Linked DNA regions of Danio rerio. The protein of the gene in region 1 interacts with the protein of each later gene in a pairwise test. Links are inferred from orthologs where the notes say so. Each region holds a gene or a part of one and is shown in the gene's direction. Other genes may lie near its edges. The genes, in order: trim23, klhl42, morn4, hoxb5a, phf1, lnx1 and flad1.

Region 1 (4,006 bases):
AAACTTCTCAAATACTAATCAATAATAATATAAATAGTAACGAAGAACAAAAATATTAGCCTATAGGCTTGTAACAACATAAGTCAGATGTTGGAAAAAAAACTGCGTCTCTCTGCCTTTTTTTCTATTCATATTTTAAATTATTTGCCAGAAAAACTAACATGTTGACTTTGTTCGGTTTAAGCGGAGACTTATTTGAGATTACAATGTTTCCAGCAGCACTGAGACTGTGTGCCTGTAGCCCATACAGATACTTTTTCGCAACCGTGGCAAAGAGAGTATCTTGCTCCGCCGCCTGCATTTCTCGGAAACCAGCTCTACATTGTGGATCGGCGCGTTCTCAACTACCAAATATGCTGCTCCATTTCTCATCAACGTCTACTATTTATCAGTTTCTCTTTTGTATTTGCCCATTTTTGAAAAGGCCTCTCTACCATACCTGGCTGACTAGCTGGGCATTTGCGTTCAGTAGATGACACCGGAGCTGGCTCCGCATGTCATGGCTGGGTGACATTACCACAGATGGCTATGGAGGTTCGACGTGTTTGTCCATTTAACACTTATTTTTCTAAACAAGCCCTACAAATAGCTTCATCCTAATTATTGATTCGCCTTACTCGTTCGCCACGAATCCAAAATGTTTCCAGATTGGCGATGTAATATAAGTTTTCCGGCAAGGTTCATGGCTGAACTTGAACTTGCTGTATCACGTCTAAGTTAACGTTATGTTCATAAATGTATAGGCTATTTGGCAACAAAACAGAAAATGTGTGTTCTAGAGTGATTGTCGTCACGGTGACCGTCACAGCCCTTACATATGAGATTGCATACATTTGCATACATGTTTTAAGCTATAAAATGAAAGCCTCAGTTTGGTGCGGAGTTATTATTATACAAAAATCAAGAAAATCTTTGGATTTGTTTGATTCGTAGATTGTAGGCTATTTTAAAAGCTGATATTATATAAGAACTATTAATAACTGTAATTTTCAAAAAATAAAAAAATAAATAAAAAAGGGGTTTGTTGGTTGTAGCCCACCCTAAATCATCAACAGCCTGCTTTTTTTAAGTTTATGAAGCGGCTCCATACAGCACAGAGGTGATCTGCATCAGCGCTGGTTATTGTCAACACTGTGTGAAACTGTGACGAGAAATATCCTTCTTTCATTTTGCTTCTTTGGCAAAATTTGTCTGTAGAAACGTGTGTTTGCATGTGTTACCATCCCAAGAGTTAACAAATATTTGTTGTACATTTAGGGGCCGATCACAAAGCGCACGCCTTTACGTTGCAAAAACGCGCGACGTACCGCGCTGCCTTTTATGGTTGACAAGAAAAAAATAAGCCTCTTTTGTATGTCACTAGAAAACGACTGAATTAGCTGGTGTGCGCGAGTCGAGTTGCTGTCGATGTTATAATTGTAATTTTAATAATATTGTGATATTTAAGATCTATAAATACAGCTCTGGATAACTTGAAACAGCGACCACAAGTCTCTCCTCAATCTTTAAAAGTTTATCGTACTCACATTGACAACCCAAACCCCGCTGTCACCTCAACAGAAAGCCTGCAGTGCTTTCATTTGACTGAACAATGAAACAGAGGTAACACGCTTTTTCCACTCGAGCACACAGCGCAACGGCAAAACTTAAAGCCCGCTGAGCAAGCATAAGCAGAGCGTAAAACACTGGCGGCAGTCAGTAAACCATTAAACAGATGCCCCGTATGCAGCCAAACTTTAAAAATGTATAAAGCATATTTTAATCGTTTAACTGATACCATTCATCGGTTACAAACGCACCCTTTCGGTTATTGCTTAATCAGTTATTTTGAGCATCCCCAACTAAACCGCATGTGCAAGCTCTATTTTTTTTTTCTCTCACGGCCGCACGCCGTAGATCCGGCATGGTGCCGGAATACTTTAAGCCCTGGTAAGATCATGTTTATCACTATAAGAAAACTAAATCAAAATTATATTTTAATTGAACACATCTGATCACATAAGGTACGCACAGAAAAGTCTGTTTAGTGTTGTGAAAAGGCAAAGCTGAATATCTGTGGTTAAACTGCCACCCAGCGGTCAAAAGCTGCTGGCGCATCAAGTACCGCCGTCGCCGCGGTATGAATGGCGGCATAAGGAACACATTGAAGTAGTAACATCTGTAATACTTTTTTGTTGTGTTACTATTTAAGTGTGTTTCTTTTTTGCCCTGACAATGTAGCTATGGTTTCAATGGTTCTGTTTACTTTGTTATTTGCACAGCAGCACAGTAGACATAAAAAACCCTGTACTATTTATCAAAGATTTTTTAATATAATTTGGAAGTGTTGTGCAGCATAATTTTAAGCAGGAGAAAACATGTACAGTATTTTATTTATCAAAGATTTTCGGCAGCTTTTATTTTTGTGCAGCTGTTTATTTGTAAACAGGGAGAGAAACCTGCGTTTGAATTAAGTTTTGCTCAAAAACTGTTTAATATAGTTTTAATAAAGATTTTAAATCTCAAGTAAAAATTTATGGGAAAATACTGGCCATCTATTGTATACTGTCATTCCTCCTAAAAATACTGGGATTACATTTTTTTGACCATATCGTCCAACCCTAATTCATACTGTACTGATGACAAATTTTGCATCATACACATTGTTTGCGTAACCTAGCATACCTGTAAAACACTGAAGTATTGTTTGGACTTTAGGGTTAAATATTGGCATGTATTCCTTGGTTTAGGATGGCTCTCATTCCCAATTTCAATACTTGTATTTGTAAAGTTTATTAATATTATTGCATTATTATTATCGTAAGAATCCCTAATAGTTTTAGATGTGTTGGTTAAGTTTTGCTTATTGTAACTACATTGAAATAGCTTGAAATGTGACTTTAAAGTAATCATTTATGTTGGTGTTGTTTCTGTTCTAATAAATCTGAAGCAGGTCTACTAAAAGTTTCACATATGAATGTTGTATCTTATAAGTCATGAAAATAATTATTTGAATTAATGAAATTAACTGAAGTAAAATGGAAAACAACATTTGTTTATTTTATTGTCTTAAATTGACGATTTCAAATTCAAAGTATAATAATAATAATATTATAAATGAATAATAATGAATTCTTAGTATTAAAACAAGATGCATCACTAGTATTTCTTTACTTCGCCAATAATGATTAAGGGTTACATCATCAGTTGTTTGTTGTATTGAATAAAAAATAATTGTTTTTAACTTGATGGTTGATACAAGTTTATAATCTGAGAATCTAAGATCAATTCAATCTCTCAATTTAACATGAGGAACTTAAGCTGAAACCATTAAATATTTGGTCTGCTTTAAAATATAAATACATTTTATCATACTTTGTAAAAAATAAAACTTTGCTTAATACACCAATCTTTCCTTTTTAAACCAGCATGCTGTACTAGAGGCTGAAGCCAACCAGATTCGAGCGTCTATCCTGGATATGGCGCACTGCATTCGCACATTCACAGAGGAAGTGTCGGAGTACTCCAGGAAACTAGTGGGCATTGTGCAGCAGATAGAAGGAGGAGAGCAGATTGTGGAGGACAGCATGGGCATCGCTCACACTGAACATGTATGAACACGTTTTTGAGTAATCATAGTCTTTTTCTTAATGCATTTACACCAGAGGTTTTCAGTAAACTCCTCATTGGTTTCCACACAGGTTCCAGGTACTGCAGAAAGCGCCCGGTCTTGCGTGCGTGCCTACTTTGCAGATCTACATGAGACACTGTGTCGCCAAGAGGAGATGGCTCTGAGTGTGGTGGACGCACACGTCCGAGAAAGGCTGATCTGGCTTCGCCAGCAGCAGGAGGATATGACCATACTGCTGTCTCAGGTGTCCACAGCCTGCCTGCACTGCGAGAAAACACTGCAGCAGGTACAATCTAAGGCATGCTAAGTCACACAACCAGCATGATCAAAAGATCAGGAATTTGAGTTTGTTGTTTTTGTGCCAGGATGATTGCAGGGTGGTTTTGGCGAAACAGG
Region 2 (3,614 bases), on another chromosome or scaffold:
TGCAATATAATATGCAAAATTATCAGCACAGTGGTTTTACTTACCCTCCAGTTGCACAGTGTAAAGTATGGCTGGTCTGATAAATTCTATGATATTAAATCGCGATAAAACTATCGCGCCAATAACAATGATAAGCTCTGGATTTTATTACTCTATATTGATCCATAAGCCAATCACAGAGCAGAAATGCGATCTAAAAGTGTGTCAATTTTAGAGATGTCCCTAATTTTCAGCCACTGAAAATTTATTGGCTGAAAAATATGCTATTTAATGGATAAATTATGCTATTTAATGGAACCTTTCATTTTTGTGGCTTCAGTCATTGTTGGGGTACTCCTTTAAAAACTGTAAGCATTAACAAATTATATTGAAATATTGTTATCGTTTAATATGGAGAATAATTATCCAGATAGCATTTTTGCCATATTGCCCAGCCCTAGTGTGAAGTGAAGCAACTTTCACACTGGACTCAGAAAGTGCTGCAATATAAGCCAATTCATTTCAATAGCTTGCAATAGCACTACTATGCAGCAGGTATGCAACGTTGGTAAAATGTCAACTCTCGACTTGTTTACTGTCAATAACAGTTTACAGTCAATAAAATGAAAGGTAATATTTTATTTTGATGGTACATTTGAGTATTAGTAGATTGTCTGCTTGCTTAATATATGTTGATACTGCTCCTTCAACAGACATTTAACTGACTATAAGAAACTTTGCAAGTACATGTCAACTTACACTAACCCTTAATCCAACCTAACAGTCTACTTATTATCTAATGAGAAATAATTGGCATGTAGATTCAAAGTAAATTCAACAAATGGACCATCAAAATAAAGTTTTGTTAGTTTATTTATATAGCACATTTTTTACAACACAACATTGCCCAAAGTGCTGAACACAATTAAAATTAATTTAAATAGATCCTACATCACATAACAATTAAAACATAAGGCAAACCCCTCAACATTAAAAAGACTCAAATGCTAAAGAACAAAGATGGAGTTTCAGAAGCGTTTTTAAAAAAGATAGAGTTGGAGTGTGTCTGATGTGGGGTGGAAGCCCGTTCCAGAGTTTTGGGGCAATAACAGCAAAAGCCTGTGTGACCAAATGTGGTTATTGGTTTGTTTCTTAAAATCCATATAATGTAAGTTATTGGGTTACAATTACTTTATGCTGTGTAATAACATAATAATAAGCAATTATTCCAATTAGTACTTGGTACAATTTACAATATAATTTTTTTTGCTTGCGGCTAAGGTTATTAAGAATTTATTGGTTTTGGTTTTGGCCCATAATTTAATTTTCAGTGCTTCCCTATTCTATAATTTTTTATTATTTTTTTGACTCTCAAAATGCATTGACTTGCATTTTATGAATCACTAAGGACGATGGCAAAAATAGTTAATGGTCCACTGAACAAAAAGTCACCTACATCCTGCATGGCCTGAGGGTGAGTAAAATAACCGCATTTTTATTTTGGGGTGAGCTACTGTATCCCTGCTCTTTTTTTATGTCCAGATCAAACTTCAAGCTGCTGGCGGTGAGTGGGAAGCTGTATGCGGTTGGAGGTCATTGTCTGGGTACAGTGGAGTGTTACAGTCCTGAGCAGGACTGGTGGACGTGTGTGGCGCCTCTGCCTGATCCTCTCGCTGAGTTCTCTGCCTGTGAGTGTCAGGGCATGATCTACGTCATGGGCGGTTATACCTCTAAAGGTGAGTTTCACTAAGAGCACACACACTCAGAAGCAGAATCAGAAACCCCCTTAGAACTGCGTATTAAAATAAGTACAATTCAGAATTTGGGCTCAGAAATGACAGATATAAAGTTGTTTGCTTTTTATTATGTCAGAAGTTTATGAGCACTTTTATAAAACTCTGTACTTTTAACTCGCAAGAGAAAAGACACCTTGATTTACAAGGTGAAAGGTTAGAATTGTGGCATTATATCTAGTTTTTCTCAGTAATTTTGACATTTTTCTCACAATTATGAATATGGTTTTTGCAATTCTGTCTTAACGTCTCAAATGTGAGATCATATTATGCAATTTTAAGAAAACAGTCAGAATTGTAAAATCAAAAGTGACAATTACCTCTTATTTTGTGACAGACATGGGCTTCCATAGTGTTCTTATAAAGTAGTAATAATACAAAGTATGGTCAGTGCCAGCAGCCTTACAGTTATATGTATTTTTAGTCTAACTGTATTTGAGTCAAGCTTATTTTTGTATTATTCTGTAAACTACTGAAGACCCGTGTCCAAATTTAAAATGAAAATAGGATTTATAGATTTTTTTGTTGCATAAAATAACAAAATGGCGCCATGTTTTCAGACATGTTTACTGTATATTCATTTGAGACATCACAATACAAATGCTTTAACTTCAGAAGTGGTACGAAATTGATATTTGATGCACAAATAATAAATTTGATAATTTTCTGAAAATAAAAATAGAATTGATCATTTATAATTTTACTTAGATTTTGATATGAATATTATTACACCTTTAATTTAATAAATATTCATATTTTATTCAGTCCTGTACCTAATAAATCCAGTAAATCAAGTAATGTCTTAATATTTGCATAGCTGCATGTCACAGTCGAAAAGATATATACAGTATACTAAAACAAAATACTATACAGTGATTCCTCGTTAATCGCGGGAGTTCGTTCTAAAAGTAGACAATAGCTGAAATCGGTGAAGTAGTCCGCTTTTCCACAATTTCCACAATTATTATAAATGTTTTAAGGCTGTAAAACCCCTCACTACACTCTTTTCTCAGATAGACATTAACATTTTCACACTTTTTTTCTCGTATAAACACTCGTGTAGCTTCTTCCTTCCTTTAGCATGTCCAGAGGTCCAACTTTTGTGCAATGGTTAGCGTCTTCCTCTGCTTTTTAGGTGCTACCACAGGTACTTTTAACAGTGCAGAATATTTCGTTGACATTATGGGGTTTGTTTGGGGAAAAAACTTGTAAACATACAGTACAGCACTTCCGAGTCACACTGCTAGCGATCAAAGATGGATGTTAATTTGGCAAGCTGAACGCATTCTGTGCTGTACAGGAGACACTGCATGGAGGTGATTGATTGAAAATGGTCTACAGCCAATCAGGACGCAGAACACAATGCGCTAATTAGGACGCAGAAAACAATGCGCTGTGAAAAAAAGCATGTCAAATTGCACTAAAAACAATCCGCAAGAGCGATTTATGGAGAGGGACCACTGTATTTAAAATCACCTTTAAAGGGGACCTATTATGCCCTGTTTTACAATATGTAAAATAAATCTCTGATGTCACTAGAGTGTGTTTGTGAAATTTCAGCTCAAAATACCTTACAAATGATCTTGTATATCTCTTTGAAACTGCCTCTTTTAGGCTTTAATCTAAATTGCGCTATTTTGGTGACTGTCGCTTTAAATTAAAATGTAATTATGTGATCCCAGCCTTCGTTTCAAACGATGGTGGAGCTACGAACATCCTAAAACTCTAATAGTGGATGGCTGCTTCTCATTTAGGGCGGTTTATGCTAATGAGAGACAGATTGTCACTAATGGGTGGGGCTTTCCTCTAATGACATGTACAAAGGGAGAATGTCAATCAAAG
Region 3 (4,746 bases), on another chromosome or scaffold:
TAATATTTCTTCTTTTGGAGAAAGTCTTGTTTGTTTTATTTCACCAATAATACAAGCAGTTTTTAATTTTTTAAAAAACATTTTTAGGTCAATATTATTAGCCCCATTAAGCAATATTTTTTAATAATCTAAAGAACAAACCATTGTTATACAATAACTTGCCTAATTACCCTAACCTACCTAGTTACCCTAATTAAGCCTTTAAAATGTCACTTTAAGCTGTATAGAAGTGCCTTGAAAATTATCTAGTCAAATATTATTTATGGTCATCATGGCAAAGATAAAAGAAATCAGTTATTAGAAATGAGTTATCAAAACTATTATGTTTAGAAATGTTTTGAAAAATCTGCTCTCTGTTAAACAGAAATTGGGGAAAAAAATAAACAGGGGGGCAAATAATTCAGGTGGGTTAACAATTCTGATTGCACCTGTATATAAGAACACTAGTAATTTAATCAGATTTAGGGTTAAAAAAAATAATGGTTTATGTCAAAAAAAAAGTTTTTATTACCGAATAATATTTCTGCTATTAATTGAAATAATCCATTGAGAATTTTATTTGCATAAAGAATCTGACTGCAGCCAGTGTTCCGCACAGAGATATGATCTCACAATTTATTTTTCTAATTCATGAAACGTAGATTAAGAAACTGTTCACAGTGAGGATAAAGTTGCTCAGACAAAATAAAATACCTGTATAATATTCCTCCTTAATAAAATATTACAAAATGGGCCAAATTATGCTATAATTAAAATGCTGAAAGACAAAGTGCATGCTGTAATTGTAAATAATCTGTTGACTGTGTTAATGGCTAGCAAATGGGACTTCCATAACAATTTCTTACTCAAATTGTTTATCAAAATTAATGTACATAAAAGTGTAGCAACAATTCGCAGAACATTAGAATAAACCTAAACTAATACAAGCTTAAAAATAGGACATCTCAATTTAATTTAGGAAGAGTTAAATAAGTTAAATGCCCACTTTAGAAAAACATAACCATGGGTTTATTATAGTACAAGTGTAGTAATGATGATGTTTTGGCAGATTTATTACCATAACCGCAAGTTTACTGCATATACCATGGTTAGCTATGGTGTCAAAGTCATGCATACTTTTGGTTTAGCTACAGAAACATGTTTGTGGTAAAACATTTCCTTTATCAAACTGTTATCAAAAATATTGTATCGTGTTGTTAACAGTACTAAACACAGACATAAATTACAACATATAAATTAAGGCTAATAAACTCCCGTCACTGTTTCAGTAATTGTGTTTGTTGTTTAAGGTGGTCTAACTGTACTGCCTTGAATGAAAAAAAAAGGTTAGTTCAAATAGCAAACCTTAAAATAGGCAGCAGCAGTGACAGCATTACTTACCTTTGTAAACAGCACTAATGAGAAGAGTCCGTATCACGTTACCCTTGCCAGTGTGGCTCTTTTGTAGACATTGATCAGCCAATCAGCGCTCGCTGAGAGAAGCACAACATAAAACATCGCGAGATCTTTAAGGACAGAGAGATTCAGCGAGAGGAACTGAAACACCGGCGAGCCAGGACCCAATTTTCTCTGTATCTGCGGATCCGCTGGACAAAGCGAAAGGGTTTCATGCTCTTCAGACCGCATATAAACATAACAGGTAAATGAAATCTCCATTTGCTGGCGTGAAATAACGCGAAACGGGTTTTCACAGGCTGTAATTGAGAAGTGGGATGACGTCACCTCAGCCGCTGCTTTCTTTTAGTCCGTAAATGTTTAAACGTGTTCGGCGTAAATGAACCGTTACATTATAAATGATACAGTATCGGCTAAAATTAACCACCACAGGGCTCACTCTGTTAGACTGAGCTTTACACTGTACACAATACGACTGTGTGTGGGCTTAGGTGATGTTCTGTTCATGATCTGCTTATTACATTAGTGTAATTCTGCCACCTAACGTTATTGATATTCATCTGTTTTGTGTGCAGCTTGGTGGAGGTATGACATTAACCAGGGGCTCCTTCACTTATTCCAGTGGAGAAGAATATACCGGAGAATGGAAGGAAGGCAAGACATTTCTGAATCACTTTGCATTGCTTTTGAATGATCATTTTTAATAAATAGAGCAGGTTGTCACGTGGTTTCACATATGCACATAAAGGCTATAAATTATGGAATTAGTTTACATTAAACATTACTGTCAGATACACAAACACACACATGCGCATATATATATATATATATATATATATATATATATATATATATATATATATATATATATATATATATATATATATATATATATATATATATATATACACATACACACACACACACACACACACACAGTTGAAGTCAGAACTATAGCCCCTCTGAATTATTAGCCCCGTTTATTTTTTTACCCAATTTCTGTTTAACAGAGAGATATTTTTCAACACATTTCTAAATATTATCGCTTTAATAACTAATTTCTAATAACTGATTTATTTTATCTTTGCCATGATGACAGTACATAATACTTTACTGGATATTTTTATATCTATCAACATATTCGTTAGACTATCGAAAAAACATATAGCTTAAAGGGGTTAATAATTTTGACCTTAAAAATTAAAAACTGCTTTCATTCTAGCTGAAATAAAAAATATAAGACTTACTCCTGAAGAAAAAATAATATCAGATATACTGTGAAAATTTCCTTGCTCTGTTAAACATCATTTGGAAAAAATTAAAAAAGAAAAAAATCTAAAGGGGATAATAATTCTGACTTCAACTATATATATATAGCAAACTATTAGACAAAGTTGCAATTTGGTGTTAATAAAATTACAAAAGTCATTTTTTATGCAGAGAAAGCAAAGTACCTATTTTGTTTCAAATATATGTTGTAAATAAAATTATATTAATATATTTTTTTTGTTTGTTTTAAAAGGTTTTTATTGAGATATTCATTGCATTGCATTGCACAGCATTACAGTAAATATTACATCTCTATTTTTTTTGCAAAAATAAATAATTAATAAAAAATTATTTAAAAATAAATAAATAATTTGTAAACCCAGAATACACTTTTCAAAAAACACAAAATGCTTAACCTCTAAACCCCCCACCCCTGGGACCAAAGCTTATGCAGTAATGTTGGTGTGACCTTCACCATGTGGGTTTTTAACCTACGCTTTCAAGATAGAGGAGAAGAGGAGACCAAATATTGTCAATTTGTTTTCAATTTCTTTGCCATAAGAAATCTGATTATTTCCAAATATGCTAATTTAGGTAATTCTTCCAGCCAAGATCTAAATGATGAGGATTGTGTTGATTTCCAAAACCTTACCACTAGCTTCTTTGCCACAATAAGGCTGTAAGACAACAGTTGTTTTTGAGAATCCTGGAGTGATCTAGTTTTGTCTGAAATTCCGAATATGACCAAAAGTGGGTTGAAAACTGTTTCACAGTGTAAAATTTTAGATAGTTTTAAATATTTCAGCCTAGAATAGGATCAACACAGAGTATAACTATGTAAGGAAGTGGCTAACTCCATCTTGCATTTATCACAGAATAAATCTACATTTTTAAATGGGTGAAAATATGTTCCATGGTCATTCAGTATAACAGATGTATTTATGTAAAAATAAACAACACACTTATTTTGACTTGCACTAATAATAAGTGATAAATAATATATTTTACATTATTTTAATTGATTAAACGTGTTGGTAACAAGTGGGTTAAACCTTTGGGGTTGGGTTAAATTTTTTTTATGTCTTTTAATGTCATTAATTCATTTGTGTTTTAAATAAGCACAAAAATACTTTTTTTGTATATTATTGCTACTCTAAAATGCAGTTTTAGTATTTTTGGGATGGGTGAAAATCCCATTTTTAAATGGGTGAAAATATGTTCCATGGTCATTCAGTATAACAGATGTATTTATGTAAAAATAAACAACACACTTATTTTGACTTGCACTAATAATAAGTGATAAATAATATATTTTACATTATTTTAATTGATTAAACGTGTTGGTAACAAGTGGGTTAAACCTTTGGGGTTGGGTTAAAAATTTTTTATGTCTTTTAATGTCATTAATTCATTTGTGTTTTAAATAAGCACAAAAATACTTTTTTTGTATATTATTGCTACTCTAAAATGCAGTTTTAGTATTTTTGGGATGGGTGAAAATCCCATTTTTAAATGGGTGAAAATATGTTCCATGGTCATTCAGTATAACAGATGTATTTATGTAAAAATAAACAACACACTTATTTTGACTTGCACTAATAATAAGTGATAAATAATACATTTTACATTATTTTAATTGATTAAACGTGTTGGTAACAAGTGGGTTAAACCTTTGGAGTTGGGTTAAAAAATGTTTATGTCTTTTAATATGTCATAGATTCATTTGTGTTTTAAATAAGCACAAAAATACTTTTTTTGTATACTATTGTTACTCTAAAATGCAGTTTTAGTATTTTTGGGAGATTTTCATTATTTTCGTTTAAAAAGGAAATTAAAAGGACTTAACAACAATAACAAAAAATGGTAAAGAGATGTAAAATTAGTTTAAAATTAGTCCTTTACAGAATAAAACAAAGATTATGTTTACTAAAATTCATGAACAAGTAAATTGTCATTTTTAAAAAGTTAAAGATTTACCTGTCAAATATTCACAGCAGAAGAAGATTTGACAGCTTGCCCCAGGGGCTTGACATATATTAACATGTTTTAAAGAATGTTAATTTCTTCTCTCATTGTTGTGGA
Region 4 (4,563 bases), on another chromosome or scaffold:
AAGTGATCTAATGACCCGTAAATGATGCAAGGAGAAATAAGTCGACGTAAAATAAGTCTGTATATTGACAGCGCTGTAAAACTGCACTTCTAAACTAGTGCGACACTGCGGATAATATTTTTAAGTGCTTATATTTGTTTGTACGATGTTTTATTTTAGATAGACTTTTAGTGATTTCATTAAACAAATAAAATGAACAAAAACTCGTTGGTTAGGAATTTGGTTTCGCTTTTTGCACTATTAAGAGGCTGAACATTGACAACTTGGTTCCAAAATACTTCCAACAAAGTGTAAGGTGAGAAGGTTCAGCAGATTTTAATAGATAACCAAAAGAGAAAGCTGACCTGTCGGCGCTGGTCACTCACCCTGAGACATAGAGCCTGGAGGGTTATAAGCGATAATAACCCAAATATCTCAGGTAGAGTTTGCTAATTGCGTCAACAAAATGCAAACCAGAATCAGACATAGCTTATAGAATTATATTTAAAGGCCTAGATAAAAGCCAGATACACAAGTTATTCTTCTACGCAGAAACGAGTTTACGTTTACACGTTTTCAACGTTTACAGAGCCTCACGCTTCTTCGAAGGCTACAAATGGTGGTAAACCTGCTAGTCCTTTTGTGCATTTCCAGATTTTAAATATTGCTAAAATATCAATGCAATATTTGGGTCAATGTATTTCAAGTGTACTTTTCTGCATTTAACAAAACCAACAGTGTATATAGGTTTTTGTTATGATTTACACCATGCATATAACACGAAGCAGCAATTGGCACTTTGTCAACAAACCATATATCTTTTTGGAACATAAATCATGATCTCACATTCCTTATATCCAGTGTCTGACCAGAAACTCATCTTTGGAACTTTGGAAATCACACCGCTTTTTACGTTGAAGAAATATATTTGCGGTAGCACCAATGATAAGATATAGGCTACTGACATTTAGGTAAATATGTTTTAATTCCCCCGATTTACAATTGAATTGATTTAGTGTTAAGTCCTTTAATTTATATTATAGGTAGAGAAATTTAAATTCGTACCAAAGTAGACTTAAGTTTTTACATCATCACAACAGTTGATATTCTAAAGCCTAACATTTAATATATTCTCTACGTGTTTCGAGTACGATTATTTTATTTCCTTTTATCAGAATCATGTGACAGTTAAACATTAGATTATATTTTCATATCAAGCATGCATTATAAAGTATGTGGGATGTTGTATGTGTAAATGGTCAATAGGTACTCTAAACGTTATTAACGTTATTGCAAAAATGCAAACAAAAGAATTTTTATTTACGCTTAAAAGAAAGTAAAGTGGCATTCAGCGCAGAATATATCTTGTGAGAGTGCAACGAATTTCATTCCCAGTAGGTGACGCTGTCCGCTTACTTCCAGCAAATCCCTGCAATGGGAGGAACACGTTGACTCAAGTCTAACGACTCCCCGTCTCGTCATCATTTGTAACCATAGAGCATGAATTACCTCTTGAAGTCATCAGTGAGAATTTACGACTGGTCAACAAAAGCACGTGATTCTCAAACGCACCCCCACCCCCATATTTGGCCGCATACATAGCAAAAACGAAGTACAGTGCATTGCTATAATTCATTAATACATCATAAATCGTGAAGCACAGCGTTATAACGACCAAGATCTACAAATCAAGCCCTCTAAAACAACCTAAATGAGCTCTTACTTTGTAAACTCGTTCTCAGGGCGCTACCCAAATGGCCCTGACTATCAGTTACTAAATTATGGAACTAGCAGCAGCGCTATGAACGCTTCGTACAGGGACTCCGGCACCATGCATTCAGGCTCTTACGGCTACAACTACAATGGAATGGACCTAAGCGTCAATCGTTCAACCAGCACTGGCCACTTTGGGGCGGTTGGGGACAACTCCCGGGTCTTCCAGTCTCCAGCTCCGGAGACGCGATTCCGGCAGCCATCAAGCTGCTCGCTCGCGTCTCCGGAGCCGCTGCCTTGTTCCAACAGCGAAAGCCTTGGACCCAAAGGCTCTTCGCCCCCTTCCGACCAAAGCACCACCACTGCGGGTAATAATCTCAACAGCAACACACATTTTACAGAAATCGACGAGGCCAGTGCTTCATCGGAGACCGAGGAGGCGTCTCACAGAGCGAACAACTCTGCACCCCGGACACAACAGAAGCAAGAGACCACGGCAACCTCCACTACCTCGGCGACGTCCGATGGCCAAGCTCCCCAAATATTCCCTTGGATGAGGAAACTACATATTAGCCATGGTACATACGTATTATGTTTATGTCTTATTTCTTTGTTAGCAAATGCGTACTGGTTTAATGTTAGTGTGGCGTCAGTAACAGCCTTTATTTTAAATATTCGTGAAAATGCCATAAATCTATCAAGTGTGGAGCCTCGCAAACTGTAGAGAAGAGAATGGGAGCGGGGTGGAAGAGAGGGCAGCGAGGCAGGAAGGTTTCCAAGTTGTTGTTTCTGTGAAAAGTTCAGCTTTATGATGTGTGGGAATGTGATTAGTGTTTGAGAACCGGTAATAAAATGGAAAAAACAACAACATGGGAAGAAGCCGAGGTTGTGGGTTGTATAAACAAGCCGCGGAAAAGGTAACGTTTATGAATAATTATTACGTTTGTTAAATGCTGCTTTATTTCTGTAAAGTTTTGAGGTTTTAACTAACGAAGGAAAAACAAACGCCTTGAGCCTAAAGTGAGGCGCTGTGCACTGTACCATTTGGTGATTTCCCTGTACACATTTAGGTGTAAAACGTGCCACTCATGAGTATCTGTAGGAAAAAGTTGTTGGAAACTGTTGTTGAAATAATGTACAGGCCGATTATTGCTAATGTTTGTTCCCCTTTGCGTTTTGTCCACATTATTCAGATATGACTGGACCAGACGGCAAAAGGGCCCGAACTGCATATACCCGCTATCAGACGCTAGAGCTGGAAAAAGAGTTCCATTTCAATAGATACCTCACCCGAAGAAGGAGGATAGAGATAGCCCACGCTCTATGCCTCTCAGAGCGTCAAATTAAGATATGGTTCCAAAACCGGCGGATGAAATGGAAAAAGGACAATAAACTGAAGAGCATGAGTCTGGCTACCGCAGGTAGCGCTTTCCAACCATAGTTGTATCCCAAGACCTGCTACGTGGTGTGCAAAAAATTACGCGGAAAATGAGATGAAAAAGAGATCTCAAAACATTACCTACAGAGTACTGTACATCGCGGCACCTTTCGGCATGTTATGGATGTTTTAGGCATTTTAAAATTCTACTGTGGTACTGCTATAATGAAACAAAAATTAGTGTTCATATGTTGTTCTTTTATGGTGACTTTAATTTTGGCAAGTAAATAAAACTGAAGGGAAAGAAGCTATCAATATAACGCTTGTTGTTCTTGTTACAAATATTGTTTATGTGTCAAGTGCTATGTTAATGCTTTCTTGAGAGTTAGCATGTGAGCTCTTAAATGTTATAACTTATTTACCTATACACGTGTATAACTACCTTTTGAGTTTACAGCTTAGAAACGCATCTGCCCTTGTATGAAGTGAAGCTCTAGTTTAGAGGTGACTGCAGTAAATTTAGCAGAAGCCTATGTTTCATGGTCCTCTGTTTAATCAATGTCTAAATAATCACAATCGATTTGTCATGTGTTCACAATCTTCTATTATTATTATTATTTTTTTTTTGAAAAAAAAAAAATAATTAAATGGTGTAAATAGACCTCGCTAGATTCTTGTACTCGTTCATACGTGTGTATAGTTGTATTCCAAATATATAATTGTATATTACTGGATCATGTTTATGTTCCAAAAAAGGTTGTATATATTGAACATTTTTATTGTGATCAGTTGGCTATTTGTAGTGGGCAGAATAAACGGCAATGTGGAAAAAAGTCATGTCAATCTGCCTGTTAGCATTTTGCCAAAATGCTTTTTGTATTTGTTTGTAGTTTAACTTGGAGTAAAAAATAAAGTTCCTCATATTCAAATCTTCTACTTTTCTTGACTATTCTTCTAACACATTCCAGACATCTAATTATTGTCAGTGATTGACAGTTATCGATTACACACTCAAATATTCTCTGAAACTCTAAATTCTGAAAGGTCTTATATGTGACAGAAATATTTTGGCACAATGCAGATCTGTGACGTTTTATATTGACAGTTCATACTCAAAACGCTATAGCGATCTTACTATTAAGAGAAAACGCACATTAAAATTTTTACCTTAAACCTGGCGTGTACAGAATATGGTTAAAAAATACAGTTAATTATACGAAACATACACATTTTCCAGATTGTTTATATAATCTACAAACGCTCTTATTTCTGCGTCCTAGTAAACAAACACTGAACCTTTAAACTTACCATGCGTGCCAAACTGTTCTCTACCTCTAAGTTTTGAGAGCCGAGTGGAGGTCCCCGCAGTGTACCAACGGTCACTTGCCTTCTGTATTTTTGCTTTTCCTATTGCCCAAACTACACAAAAAGTAGCTATGACATTTACATGTCAAACGGATGAGCGTTTTATCTTGAAGTTAGATCGTAAAAAT
Region 5 (4,733 bases), on another chromosome or scaffold:
TAAATTCATATTTTGAACAGGAAGCTATGCAATATTATATTTGTGCATATGATATACACTCTCGGAAATAAAGGTACAAGAGCTGTCACTGGGGTGGTACCTTTTCAAAAGGTACACATTTGTACTTGAAGGGTCCATATTGGTACCTTAAAAGTATTAGTACCTACAAATTTTAAGAGGAACACTTTTGTACTTTTTAGGTACTAATATGCACCGTTGAAGTATTAATATGGACCTTTAAGGTACAGATTTGTATTTTTTGTTAAGGGACCACCCCAGTGACAGCTTTTGTACCTTTATTTCTGAGAGTGTACATTACTGAAGCCAAATCTGGAGTCTATCTAACAAAATAACTTACGATAACGGTCCAAAAACTAGTACACCCAAATGTATATGTATACAAATTTAAAAGAAGAAAAATCAAAACAACAAATACAAAAAAAAAAAGTAGAGTTGAAACTTTGCAATATTTAGCTTGAATTTAATTGTATTATCTTTCAATTTCTAAATATGTTTGGTGACTAAAATATTGTTTTAATAAATATATGTTTAATAAATCTGTTTTTTTAAATGCACCAAAATAATTGCCTATATCCATTGAGAAATTAATCAAATATTATTAAATTATGCTGAGCACTGTACACTGTAAAATATGATCAATATGTCATGACAGCATATATTTTAGGTCATTGTAACTTATTAAACTAAGGTAATCATGTTCTAACTAAATTTCATAAGTTACAGAAGCTGTTTTAAGTCAGTTTAACATATAAATTCAGCGGACTCATAAGGTTAATCTGATTCAGCTTAAAAATTGAGGCAACCAGGATTTAAGATAGATAATATAATGAATAGATAGATAGTGAACACACACTATTATTATTAAAATTATTAATGATTTATTTTATTAATACATTTTTGGAAAAGCGCTAAAAAGAACTCATGTCTGAGCATTAATAACCTACTGATCTACTCAATATGAGAAATGTATATTAAATAATTTAATAAAATGTAAATTTATGTACATTATGAATAGCCAGAGTAATGTTTTTCATAAATGTATAACTTATATTGTAATAAAATATTATTAATAAACAAAATAAAATGACGGTATATAATTATATGAAAATATAAGTGTAAACATAATTTATTCAAAACTGATTAATAATGCAATCGTCATAAAGTGGTAATTTATTGTATTTTTCGATTGTTATTATTATTGTCTTGCATTACACTCATTTTTAAGTTATGATCATAATAATCCTGTAACTGCATTATCTAATATGGAATAAGAAAAATCTGTTTTCTTTTTTTGGGCGTTAGCCCTTTTTCTAATTTATGATAATAATATTGCGGTTATATTTCTTTATTTTTTATATATATAAGTCAAAACATTGTTTTTAAACTTCTTTTTCTATTCTTTTTTTGCGCGCAGCAGCTTTGCCTCTTTTTTCTTTACTTTTTTTTCCAGCCGGCACCCAAGGGCATTTTCAAACTTTCTCCAGAAAGTCCACGGCGTGGCTCTGCCGGACTAATTACCCCGTCAAACTTTCCCTAATGAGGCTGTGAGCGCGAGCGGCACCGGCCGGGCTCCTATCGCGGGCTGTAGGGGCGCAGGCGGTGGTCGTGCCGGCTTTCAGTCCGGTGGGAAGTCGGTCAGTCGCACAGATGTGAAGGTGTTCTCCGGATCTCCCTCCCTCTCCATCTCCCTGTGTTTTATGTCTGCGTCACAACAAGTCGAAGGAGAGCGAGAGAGAAAGAGAGAGAGGCAGAGATGATGATGATGGCGTCTCTCTCGGGCTGAATCTCCTGACGAGCACACGCTTGAAAGCATCAAACCGAGAGACATGAAGACGGACAGAGAGAGAGAGAGACGGACGGACGGACAGACGGTTGCGCACTGACGCGCGTTTGATCCGCCGCGACTCTCCAAAACGCGCCGATTATTCGGGACAGTGATTGAGACGCAGAACAACACCGGTCACCATCAGGCGTTTCATGTGAGACTGACATCTCTTCCCCGTCTCTGTGACCCCAGCAGAGCCGATCACTCCACACAGGTACATCCCGTGCACGTATGATCTGCCATGCGTGTTAATTGATATGTGCGTGCGCGCGCCGTCATGTGTGTCAGCTCTCCTGAGTTGCGCGCATTGATTAGTGCACATCTGGCCGCGCGTTTTGCATGCATTGTTGTGGCATCTGCATATGCATTACGGTCGGTTGCATAAAGCAGCCAGTGTTTTTTTCCCCCTTCTTTTTTCTTTTTGATCATGTGTGGCACTGCAATGTGCATTGACTCTTCATCATTTATCCTACTGTACTGTATACTGTCGCTATGCACAGAGTTTAACCCTTTAGGCTGCTGCTGTTTGCTACTTGATTTGAAAGCCTCTGGATGTTTTGTGCGCTCTTCTTTCCCGCTCTCTTCAGGATGGGGGGAGTCAGTGAAGGAGAGGATGTTTTGGCCAGGTGGAGCGATGGACTTTTATATCTCGGCAATGTCAAACGAGTAAGTTTCTCCAAGTTTGTTCGGAGGAGGGAGCCGGTGGAGAGGATGAAAAAGCAAGTTTTGAAAACTGCGACTTGTACTTGTGAAAATGAGTGTGGTGTTGTTTGGGATGTGTTCGTCTTGCAGGTGGACAGTGTCAAGCAGTGCTGTTTGATCAGATTTGAGGATAACTCTGAATTCTGGGTCCTCAGGAAAGACATCCACTCGTGTGAGTTTAAAACTCTGAATTTTAAGTCAAAAACTAAGCGTAAACATCTCGGTGAGCAGCTTGATGTCAAAACGACATCCAATAGACATCAAGTATAATGTCAAAAAACGCATTCAAATTGCAAATCGACTTGATGTCCAAATCTTGCCATCCGCTTGACATCCACACACTGATGCTCTTTGCCACCAAATTAAAAACACCAAAAGTAATATATTAAACGTTTTATTTATTTGAAAGCTTAAGAACAAAATTACAAAATTTATACTTTTAATTTTTTCCCTACCATGGGTGGATTTAACCTATAAGCGAGGTAAGCAGTTGCTTAGGGCCCCAGGGAATTAGGGGGCCCCAATCAATGTCAAGAACCCTATATTCAACATACAGTATAGCTCTCTTGTAAATTTTCTATCATTCATTCGTTTTCTTTTCGACTTAGTTCCTTTATTAGTCTGGGTTTGCCACAGCGGAATGAACCGCCAACTTATCCAGCATTTTTTACGCAGCGGATGCCCTTCCAGCTGCAACCCATCCCTGGGAAACATCCATACACACTCATTCACACACATACCCTACGGCCAATTTAGCTCACCCAATTCCCCTTTACCATGTGTCTTTGGACATGTGGGGGAGGAGCCGGCAAACACCCACATGAACTCGGGGAGAACATACAAACTCCACACAGAAATGCCGACTGACCCAGCCGAGGCTCGAAACAGCGATCTTTTTGCTGTGAGGCGAACGTGGTACCCACTTTAAAACCAGGGGCCCCCATGAATAGTGGAACGTACTGCCCATAGGTGAGGTGTGATCAGTTCAAAGACTGTCAGCCTGCCAGTGATCTGAGTAGAGCAAAAGTGAAGAACATTTTGAGAACATTTGGGGGACAAAAGTAGAAATAAGACAAACGATGGCCGAAACACCTGTCAGATGATGAGCGCTGTGAGCTTGTCAAGAGAGGATCTGTTCAAATAAATAACATTTCCCAATGAAAAGTAAAGGAACATTCATTCATTCATTTTCTTTTTGGCTTAGTCCCTTTATTAATCTGGGGTTGCCACAGCGGAATGAACTGCCAACCTATCCAGCATTTGTTTTACACTGCAGACGCCCTTCCAGCTGCAACCCATCTCTGGGAAACACCCACTTCCATTCACATACATACACTACGGACAACTTAGCTTTTTCAATTCACCTATACTACATGTTTTTGGAGGAAACCCACACGAACACGGGAAGAACATGCAAACTTCACACAGAAATGCCAACTGACCCAGCCGAGGCTCAAACTAGCAACCTTCGACAAAAATAACATTTCCCAGTGAAAAGTAATGACCGACAATTCACAAACAGCAATTATTCAAGATTATGGGAAAAATGGTGACAAGATTAGTTTGATGGATTGTGAATAAATTTTGTTTAAATGTTTTTTTAATTTGTAATAAAATCTAATCACAAAAATGGCTAATTAAATGTACTTAGTTTATTTGGTGAATTTATTGCATTTAATTTGACAATAAGAAAATAAAGTTTCCTTTAAATATTAAAATACATCAAATTTACTTTAAATATATATTTTTAACATGCTGTTTATTTATTTATTAAAAAAACTAATCTAAAGAGAATATATATATATATATATATATATATATATATATATATATATATAGAGAGAGAGAGAGAGAGAGAGAGAGAGAGAGAGAGAGAGAGAGAGAGAGAGAGAGAGAGAGAGAGAGAGAGAGAATGTTTTAAGTTTCAGTGCTTGGGCCACATACCTGGAATTGCTTAGGCCCCCAAATCACTAAGTCCACCCCTGAACCCTACAATTCATGTAAACTGCCTTGATGTCATTTTTTTATTTTTTTATATTTATAAAAATAATAATATATATAATAAATAAATAATGTAATGTTTCAAAGCTTATAAAATATTTTTATAAGCTTTGAAACATTACATTAAGTAATAATACAAATTCAAATATATGCTATATCCAGGAACATTGCAAGAATTGCAAAA
Region 6 (4,006 bases), on another chromosome or scaffold:
TACCTTAAGAGCTGGGAGGGATGCGGTGGAGAGGGGCGTGCAAAGTTTAATGACCGGGCGGGAGACGCGCGATTTCCAGGAGATTATCATTCATTTGCGGGCATCAACTTGGGTATCTGGGAGTCTCTGTGCATTTGCGGGATAACGTTAACGTTAGTCCCGCAACTTCCGGGAGACTTCTGTAACGTCAAATGTCTGATAAAGTGCAAACGCGGTCATTTAAAGACATTAATGTTAACATTCCGACTTTAATGGAAGTCAACACTTAATATAATTCAAGCGTAACTGTTACGTTATCACACGAGTCTATGGACTAACGTTATTTGGACAGCCACGAATGAACCAGTTTAAAAGGGCTGCGGTGTTTAAAATAACCAAATTAACGTACACGAATAACAAACAATCATATGTTTCAGTCAGGAAGCCTTTTACAAGTAAGCATGTTCATTTACTCACCAGATATGTTTTAGAAACTCCAGAGCTCATGGAAACCGTCCTGTGTTGCCGTTAGCATCCAGGCAGAGTAGGCTAGGCTGCTCCGGGGATTCCCTCGCTAGTTTGCTTTGAATTAAAGGAGAAGTGTCGATTTTATTTTACAGATGGGTAACAACGCACAAAATAGCATTAAGCGTGACATAAATGTGTTTAACATGTACATTTGATGTTTTTATGCACTATGTATGCGTGAGCATATATAAAAAACATTCTTGAAAAGAAGTGAATAGTAATGCAGTTAAGCTATACACAAACGACCATGAATGAACCGCAGAAGTTTAAAATTGTCACTCCATTCTAAAATTATTAACTTAACAATATGTTTACAACTGTATTTCCTTAAAGAAAGTCAGTAAAATACCAACATTTAGGTAGTTTGACTCACCAGTTGCTGTTCTAAACCTCAGATGGAAAATGGCGTCTGGAAAATTCTTCAGTGACTGGGGCTGCATGAATTCCCGGATGTTGGAAATAACACCACCAAGTATTGAAAAGATAACTCTTTGATTTCGCACTGAATAAAATCAATTTTAACTCTTATTATATTCATTTATCAAAATTTAACTCTTTAACGTCAACACTTTACTCTGAAATGCTTCAACACCGAGAATTTAACTCTGATGAATTTGCTGTGTAGTTCATTAATATGGTGCTTGTAGTTCTCGAGCGATTTGCAGTCCCTAGATTGCTGGTAATTGTTATACCGCCAAAGCTGGTCAGTAAAAATTATCCAACTGGTGAAATAAGTTTTTATGAAATATTATTGCAATTTAAAATTGCGAGTTTCAATATTGGAAAAATATGCTTAAATCAAATTAATTGCTGGTTTATTTCTTATTTTCAAATAGTCAGCATCATTACAAAAATCCTCTTAACAGGCACTCTTAACAATTGTGTAGTTCCTTGAAAAAAGAAAATGGTTTGACAAATGAAAAGTTGAATAAATTACATTTGTTATTATTAGACATACATTTTTCCCTGTCAGTTTTAATCAACACAACAACTACTTTTAAATAAAACAACGAATTACTATTATAAAAAATAACATATTAGCTCCAGATTTTTGATCAGCGCTACAGTATGCACATTTGTCTGTGGAAAAAAGTTTAATTTTACTTAAAACTCACCCCTTTAATTGTAAGATTTATCTTAATGCATTCATATAAAGTCTCTGCCAGCCTTGCATCCACCAACAGACCACTGTAATGCTTTTTTAAGTCCTGCAGTCATGCTTGGCCTGGCTTTACTCTGGACAGATGCCCTGTTTGTGTAGCACTGAAAGTGATGATCATGTGGGAGTTCAGTTCACTGATTACACAAACTCTCTCTCTCTCTCTCTGTTTCAGTATTCGCATTACCTCAGCTGCATCATCTAATCCCTGATGGTGAGGTCACCAGTATTAAGATCACCAGGGCAGATCCTTGTGAACCACTGGCAATCAGTATTGTTGGTGGCAATGAGACCCCTCTAGTACGCATCCTCATACAAGACATCTACCGCGAGGGGGTCATCGCTCGGGATGGAAGACTACTACCTGGAGATATGATTCTTAAGGTGCGTATGTGTGCTAGAGCTGAGATTACGTCAATGTACAGTAGGAGCAAATCACCCCGGTTTTGATAGCACATGTTGTCACCATCTGTTGTTCAGAGGAGCAACGTGTTAGGATTCTGCATGTAGACATTTTAATGCCTTTTGCTTTCATTTTTAATTTGATCATGTTATATAAAATAAGCAGAGATGCTCTTATATTTACATTTAAGCTGTGATTATGTTAATGTCCCATAAGCCTAAAAAAAGCAGATATGCAGCATTCCCAGAATCAACATTAGAACCAGCTTTATATTCCAAGTCTGTACAAACATGCAAGGAATTCATTGTGGGTTCCAGGAACTTTGTATACATAGATATATAACACAAGAACACTAGAAAAACATTTGAATAAGTCAACTGGCGGTTCATTCCACTGTGGTAGTCCCTAATAAATCAGACACTAAGATGAAGGAAAATGAGTGAGTGCATTGGAATAAGTTAGATTAATAAAAATAAGAATTTAAAATATATTTTAAAAACAATAAAACAACGTAGATCTAGATATAATGGCATATGTAAAATGTACTGTAAGGACACTATAAATAAAATAATGTGTATTTATAAAGTAAACATTCTATTGTTGCATATAAGAGTACTGGATTACTGGTTTTAAAAATATGCAGTAATTGGTGTGTTAGCTGTTTAGATGGAGATGTGGACATGGACAGAATTTTATGTCTAGATGTTCTAGTCTATGCTAATGAACGGATGAATAAAAATAACGCTAAATAAAATTAACATTTAAAATTTGATCTTTCAGTAGTGTGTTTCTTGCTATTAATCCCATGCATGTTAATGAATGAATGAATAAAAATAACACTAAATAAAATTAACATTTAAAATGTGGCCTTTCAATAGTGTGCTAATTTATGCAATTAATCATACTTAAAATTAAAATATGTATGCTAACAACCAGCTAGATGTACATCCTATCTTACATAAAGCTTATACAAACTACAAACACTTATATCAGGTAAATGCAACCTTCAATTTTAATTGTGATTAGGCATTGGCTGATATAAGATTCTGAAGGTATGATAACCTTATATAAAAAATGCTTCCAAGGTATTGTGCTCTAAATTATGTTCTTTTTAAATGTCTGGGTAAAAAACTAAAACTTTTACCCCTTTGAACACAATATATTTTCTTTTGAGAAACACTTAAAATATTTTGGAGCAGTAAACATGTCAGCCTAAGTAATTCAAATGAATCATTGACTGATTCTGTCTTCATTAGTTTAAAAAAAATAACAGATTTATTTACCATTGATTAATTTTTTATATCTTTTCTGCTGGAGATACTATTGCCCTAAAAACAAACAGAAAATTATAATAAAAAAAATAAAAAAATCATCTTACAAATACCATAGGAATGATATGGCAGAAGACGTTGGCGGTTTTAAAACCTTGACTTTTCCAAACCACGATATACCTTGAAAACGGTTATCATCCAAAGCCTAATTGTGATTAATCCTAAATAATTGTTTGACAGTACTACATGAAACTCAGGCTTTTGGAATTGGTTATGATATATCATTCTCTGCTGTTTGAGCTTTAAACATGTACATAATCATAAATTAATCATCTCATACTGTGTGGTCTCTTCAGGTAAATGGCATTGACATCAGTAACGTGCCTCACTGTTATGCCGTGGCGGCTCTGAAGCAGCCGTGCACACTTCTGCGGTTGACCGTCCTGCGAGAGCAGCGCCATCGCTACCGCTCCCATCATCACTCCCCCACCGAGGCCTTCCCTGCCCACACGGCCACCATTCGGGATGACAGCCTGCATGTGGTCCTTGTTAAAAGAGCTCCCGATGAGCAGCTGGGCATCAAGCTGGTGCGCAGGCCTGATGAGCACGGCGTCTTCATCTTCCACCTGCTGGAGGGGGGACTGGCGGCCCGTGACGGCAGGCTGC
Region 7 (4,641 bases), on another chromosome or scaffold:
AGAGCTTGCACATTGTTGTTATTGTTGTGTTTTGACTGTGTAACATACATTACTGAATTAAACAATGCTAAAATGTAGCTTTATTTTATTTTTGATTGATACAAAGTCACACCCATTTGGCAAAAATAAAAATATTTTTGTAGATTTGCTTGGTTTAAATTGTTTTATTGTAGTCACACTGATTTATTAATAACAATACGATGTTTTCTGTGTTAAATAAATTCTTAATTAAAATCAATTCATAAAGTCAGATAAGTCACTCTCATGTCGCCACCTACTGCTGAAGACAACACTGAACGAATCCGTGAGTGAATCAACCGATTCACTATTATGAATCACAACCCCCCCTCCGCTAGAGGGAAACATATGAAGGTTTGGAACTGAAACATCTTTTCCGGGTTTCAGGACTACAAACTAAACAGCACTACAACAACAGAGCAACAGAGAAAGTGCCCGCAAAACTTTATTGGTTGGTTATAACGGTGGGGTTTTCAAAATGGTCCGCGTGTGTGCTTTTCCAGGATGCTTTAACCGTGAGAAACCCCTCAGACTCCGTCAGTCGGCGTCATCGCACGAGGAAAGTTTGACTTTTCACTCGTTGCCCCTTCAAGACTTTAAAAGGTTGAATCTGTGGCTGAACGCTGTTCGTCGAGACACAAAGTCCTCAATTCGGAACATCCGTGGACTGAGGGTGTGCAGTGAACATTTCGCACAGGACGATTTCAGTCTGAACAGAGGAAGTAAACGACGACTGAAATCAACCGCTGTACCGAAATGTAATGAGGTAACGTTTATGTGTGGAAATAAAGTTAACACACTGCAGTTGAAAACATTACTAGTTTTCACCATAAATACCCAGTTGATTATGTTCCACATGATGTGTGTATCTTAAAATGTAATGTTTAAACTTACAAATGCCACTTTATTAAATATATACTAATTTAACTACGTTTCTAGTATTGTATTTCATTTTTTTTCTCAAGGTTTTGACCCACTAATTCAGAAAAAAAACAATGCAAGCTGCTATAATAAAAAGGTTTGGAATACTATTGTTGTTGTTATTTATATTATTATTAATAATAAAATAATAATATTTTTATTAGTAATTACTGTTACTATTTAAAGTGGAAGTTATTCTGTCAAGTTTACATTTTCTGTCCACTACAACGAAAACCTCTAACAATCACAAATAATGTAAAACACTATTCAAATTACATAATTCAAAAACATGGATGCATTTATTTGGTCATGGGACAGACTGCAGGTGAACATATTTTCACACAACAACTTTACCCTTCTGTATTTGCACATTACATCCTTTATTTACTTTATTTCACTTGTATGTTTTTTTTTTTACTTCTTTCTCTCTTCTTTAAAATGTATAATGCAGGTTGTAACAACATCCGTCTTTTACTAATGTTCTGAGTTTCTGTAATCTATTGTTGACTGTTTTTGAAACCAATAAGAAATTGCATATTACATGGAAGTAAAAACAAGTATATTACATGAACGTCGCCGCTTTCACTTCCCAAGGAAGTATCCGCCTTCTTTAAGGTGATTGGTCAGTTTGTTTAGGAAGTAAATCATCGCCTCATTTCAATTGGCCAAGACACGTCACGTGACGGTTGTACAACCAAGTTTCTTACTGACCGAGCAGGCTGTTATGCGAGTTCTCGCACGATAATACACATTTACAAAACAATTCCAACGTCGGAAACGTAGAATCAGGTTCAGCTTTATTTTTCGCACTGTGTTGGTTATAATCTTCAGCTGCGTTTAATGTTTGCGAATAGCTTACTCTGGTTTCACGGTACGGACGTGCGGCGCACTTGGGACTTTGACATCACACATACAGTATGACCGCGACGATACCTTGAGAACTGTAATGCAGTCATTGATTTGCCTGATTCAGTCTTCAACATGATAAATGATCTATTATGTAGTTGTTAGGTGGTCACGCAGTCCGGACAAACGCCCGTATACAGTTACATGCCGACCAGGTAAGAATGACGATCATAAGTGTGTTTGTCTCTGCTTTTGATACATTGTATGTTTATATAATATCAAGCTGCTGTTGCAGCTGTTTCATTTCATTGGCTGATGTCTAATGGCACAGATACAAGAGATTAGTCCTGTGTACTTTTCTCCCTAAATAATATAGTTAATGTTAATAATCAACATTAACAATAATGTAATAATGTAATTAATAATCAAGTTAGTGGACTGGATAAAAGTAAAGGGAAAACCGTTTGTCAGATTGCTCTTAGTACGAAGTAGTTGTGTAGCTTTACTTCAATTCAGATTAAGTTATAAAATTACAGTAGTAAACCGAGCAAGACATAGCATAGCAGATCTGAAAACATAGCAGTGACCGCTGTTTCTTTCTTTTTTTTTTTTTTTGACTGATATGTGGAAATTTAGAGAAAAAGTAATAATGTGTATGTAAAAGTTCAGAAGCTTTGAGCTGAAAATTGTGTTTTTGTTATGTATTGCACAATTATTAAAACAAAAGTATGATAATTTACAATTGATAATTTAATTATGGATATAAAAATCATAATATAATGATTTACGTTATTTATAATATTATTTATAATCAGAAATAAAATAAAATAAGTTTCATGTTTCCTGTGGATATTTGTAACTGATAGACTAAGATTGTCTGATTTATGATGATAATAGTATATGTAGTTGTTATCCTGTAGTTGTAATACTATATTACTTACAATAATAAGTTAAACAAATAAATATAAAAATTATAATTGCTCTGTAAATAAACTTAATGAGTATTTAAGAAAATTATCACATTTCATGATACAGTTGGGTAGGGGTGCCCAAACTTTTTCTAATGAGGGGCCACAAACCAAACTTGATTGAGGGTATGCCGAAGGTAAATATACTAAATTAAGGTTTCCATTGGTAATTTCTTAATCTATTTAATGTACAGAAATAACTAGAAAACATTGTTTATAATAGCCAATGCTGTATATATTTAAACATTTTCATAATGATCTTATTACTGTTAAAAACAGTCCCATTTATAACAAAATGGAGTTACACTAGTCAAGCTGCACTTGTTTTTGCTTTGATTTCTTATGTGACTATTTATATTTTAAAAAATCTGATTAATTTGCAAATATGTAATTGAAACATTTAATTTCATATAGATTTTTTTGTGGCTCAGCAAAAAAACAAACAAAATAGGTTACATTAAACTAGAAATTACAATATCTTTTAAAGGCATTTGCTCCAACCCTTCCCATCATTCTCACTCTCCTCTCAGATGGGATGGTGTGCCAAGTCAAATGATACAATGTGCCAACTTTGGCCCGCGTGCCCTAGTTTGGGCATGTCTGCTATTGGATGGGGAAGTTTTATCCCAAAAATGAATAGTCTGTCTTTTCTGTCTGACAGAAAATTCCACATCTGCATACGACTCCGAACATTATCTCCAATGATTACTTGGTCATCAAGCATACAAAGGTCAGACAGCCCAGTAGGCTATTTAGAGCTGACCCCAAATCAGTAAGAATGGTCCACTAAAGAATAGAACACACACAAAGTACAAACTGTTTTATCCTTGAGGCCGTTTCTTGTGCTCTCAGCCATCTTATTAACACTGGTAGAATATACATCTTGCCTCTGGCAGCTAACTAAGCATAGAAATTCTCTTTCATACATTAGAATCATTAACCATACATTAATATTATTTATTCTTTGACGCACAGTAAAATTCTTATCTAGTGGCTGCTGATTAAGTACCACAAATGTCCAGTTCCACATGAGAGGTTCCCTTCAATGGGCTTGAAGATCACTTGGCATACAGAAAAAGCAATGACATGCATATGATTCATATCAGAAAATCCCCTCCCTTTAATACAATTGTAAACATAAAATAATATGTGAGATTATACTCTTACACAAATATTTAAAAAAATATTTTTTTTTTACCTTAAGAAAATATTTTGGTGGAACCTTTGGAGTTCCTAGTACTGTTTGTGTTTAAACAAATTATTTATAACCTCTTTTCATTGAAAAACATTGGAAGATGATTGGTGCATGTTTAACTTACAAATATACATTACATTCCACCTAAAATAGGAGCGCGTGCAGATAAGTATCATGCTGCTCTATGAAAACATGGGACCATTATTGATTGCAGGTTCGTTATTGCACTAAGCCATTTCATTTTCTTGTCACCTTAGTCCCTTTTTTAATCCGGGGTCGCCACAGCGGAATGAACCACCGTCTTATCCAGCACGTTTTTAAGCAGTGGATGCCCTTCCAGCCGCAACCCATCTCTGGGAAACATCCACACAAACTCAAACATCCACACACACGCTACGGACAATTTTAGCCTACCTAATTCACCTGTACCACATGTCTTTTGACTGTGGGGGAAACCAGAGCACTCGGAGGAAACCCACGCGACGCAGGAAGAACGTACAAATTCCCCACAGAAACGCCAACTGAGCCAAGGCTCGAACCAGCGACCATCTTACTGTGAGGCGACAGCACTACCTACTGCGCCACTGCGTCGCCCCTCTAAGCCATATCAGGATTTTTTATTTATTTAGATAGTCATGCAGACTACAAAATATTCAGACTTTTGTGCTTGTTCCCAACAGACCTTCTCCATCT

What was found.
Region 2: the proteins of trim23 (region 1) and klhl42 interact in binary tests that used the Homo sapiens proteins (3 or more experiments, as listed by UniProt). The two-hybrid records come from large-scale screens. The link is inferred for Danio rerio from reciprocal best matches to the Homo sapiens genes TRIM23 and KLHL42.
Region 3: the proteins of trim23 (region 1) and morn4 interact in binary tests that used the Homo sapiens proteins (3 or more experiments, as listed by UniProt). The two-hybrid records come from large-scale screens. The link is inferred for Danio rerio from reciprocal best matches to the Homo sapiens genes TRIM23 and MORN4.
Region 4: the proteins of trim23 (region 1) and hoxb5a interact in binary tests that used the Homo sapiens proteins (3 or more experiments, as listed by UniProt). The two-hybrid records come from large-scale screens. The link is inferred for Danio rerio from reciprocal best matches to the Homo sapiens genes TRIM23 and HOXB5.
Region 5: the proteins of trim23 (region 1) and phf1 interact in binary tests that used the Homo sapiens proteins (3 or more experiments, as listed by UniProt). The two-hybrid records come from large-scale screens. The link is inferred for Danio rerio from reciprocal best matches to the Homo sapiens genes TRIM23 and PHF1.
Region 6: the proteins of trim23 (region 1) and lnx1 interact in binary tests that used the Homo sapiens proteins (3 or more experiments, as listed by UniProt). The link is inferred for Danio rerio from reciprocal best matches to the Homo sapiens genes TRIM23 and LNX1.
Region 7: the proteins of trim23 (region 1) and flad1 interact in binary tests that used the Homo sapiens proteins (3 or more experiments, as listed by UniProt). The two-hybrid records come from large-scale screens. The link is inferred for Danio rerio from reciprocal best matches to the Homo sapiens genes TRIM23 and FLAD1.

The regions. Positions count from the first base shown.
Region 1 is NC_133185.1:12,467,854-12,471,859, reverse strand, and holds part of trim23 (E3 ubiquitin-protein ligase TRIM23), read left to right. Parts: intron 1-3,407; coding exon 3,408-3,590; intron 3,591-3,680; coding exon 3,681-3,896; intron 3,897-3,975; coding exon 3,976-4,006.
Region 2 is NC_133179.1:18,226,424-18,230,037, reverse strand, and holds part of klhl42 (kelch-like protein 42), read left to right. Parts: intron 1-1,521; coding exon 1,522-1,715; intron 1,716-3,614. UniProt on the Homo sapiens protein: Substrate-specific adapter of a BCR (BTB-CUL3-RBX1) E3 ubiquitin-protein ligase complex required for mitotic progression and cytokinesis. The BCR(KLHL42) E3 ubiquitin ligase complex mediates the ubiquitination and subsequent degradation of KATNA1.
Region 3 is NC_133188.1:44,272,855-44,277,600, reverse strand, and holds the start of morn4 (MORN repeat-containing protein 4), read left to right. Parts: upstream 1-1,519; 5' UTR 1,520-1,639; intron 1,640-1,970; 5' UTR 1,971-1,982; coding exon 1,983-2,049; intron 2,050-4,746. UniProt on the Homo sapiens protein: Plays a role in promoting axonal degeneration following neuronal injury by toxic insult or trauma.
Region 4 is NC_133178.1:22,445,993-22,450,555, forward strand, and holds hoxb5a (homeobox protein Hox-B5a), read left to right. Parts: upstream 1-1,603; 5' UTR 1,604-1,690; coding exon 1,691-2,270; intron 2,271-2,885; coding exon 2,886-3,133; 3' UTR 3,134-3,999; downstream 4,000-4,563. UniProt on the Homo sapiens protein: Sequence-specific transcription factor which is part of a developmental regulatory system that provides cells with specific positional identities on the anterior-posterior axis.
Region 5 is NC_133191.1:49,886,564-49,891,296, forward strand, and holds the start of phf1 (PHD finger protein 1), read left to right. Parts: upstream 1-1,742; 5' UTR 1,743-2,060; intron 2,061-2,433; 5' UTR 2,434-2,434; coding exon 2,435-2,512; intron 2,513-2,638; coding exon 2,639-2,720; intron 2,721-4,733. UniProt on the Homo sapiens protein: Polycomb group (PcG) that specifically binds histone H3 trimethylated at 'Lys-36' (H3K36me3) and recruits the PRC2 complex. Involved in DNA damage response and is recruited at double-strand breaks (DSBs).
Region 6 is NC_133195.1:25,268,524-25,272,529, forward strand, and holds part of lnx1 (E3 ubiquitin-protein ligase LNX), read left to right. Parts: intron 1-1,841; coding exon 1,842-2,050; intron 2,051-3,696; coding exon 3,697-4,006.
Region 7 is NC_133191.1:24,178,554-24,183,194, forward strand, and holds the start of flad1 (FAD synthase), read left to right. Parts: upstream 1-1,613; 5' UTR 1,614-1,943; coding exon of another isoform or gene 1,944-2,000; intron 2,001-4,628; exon of another isoform or gene 4,629-4,641. UniProt on the Homo sapiens protein: Catalyzes the adenylation of flavin mononucleotide (FMN) to form flavin adenine dinucleotide (FAD) coenzyme.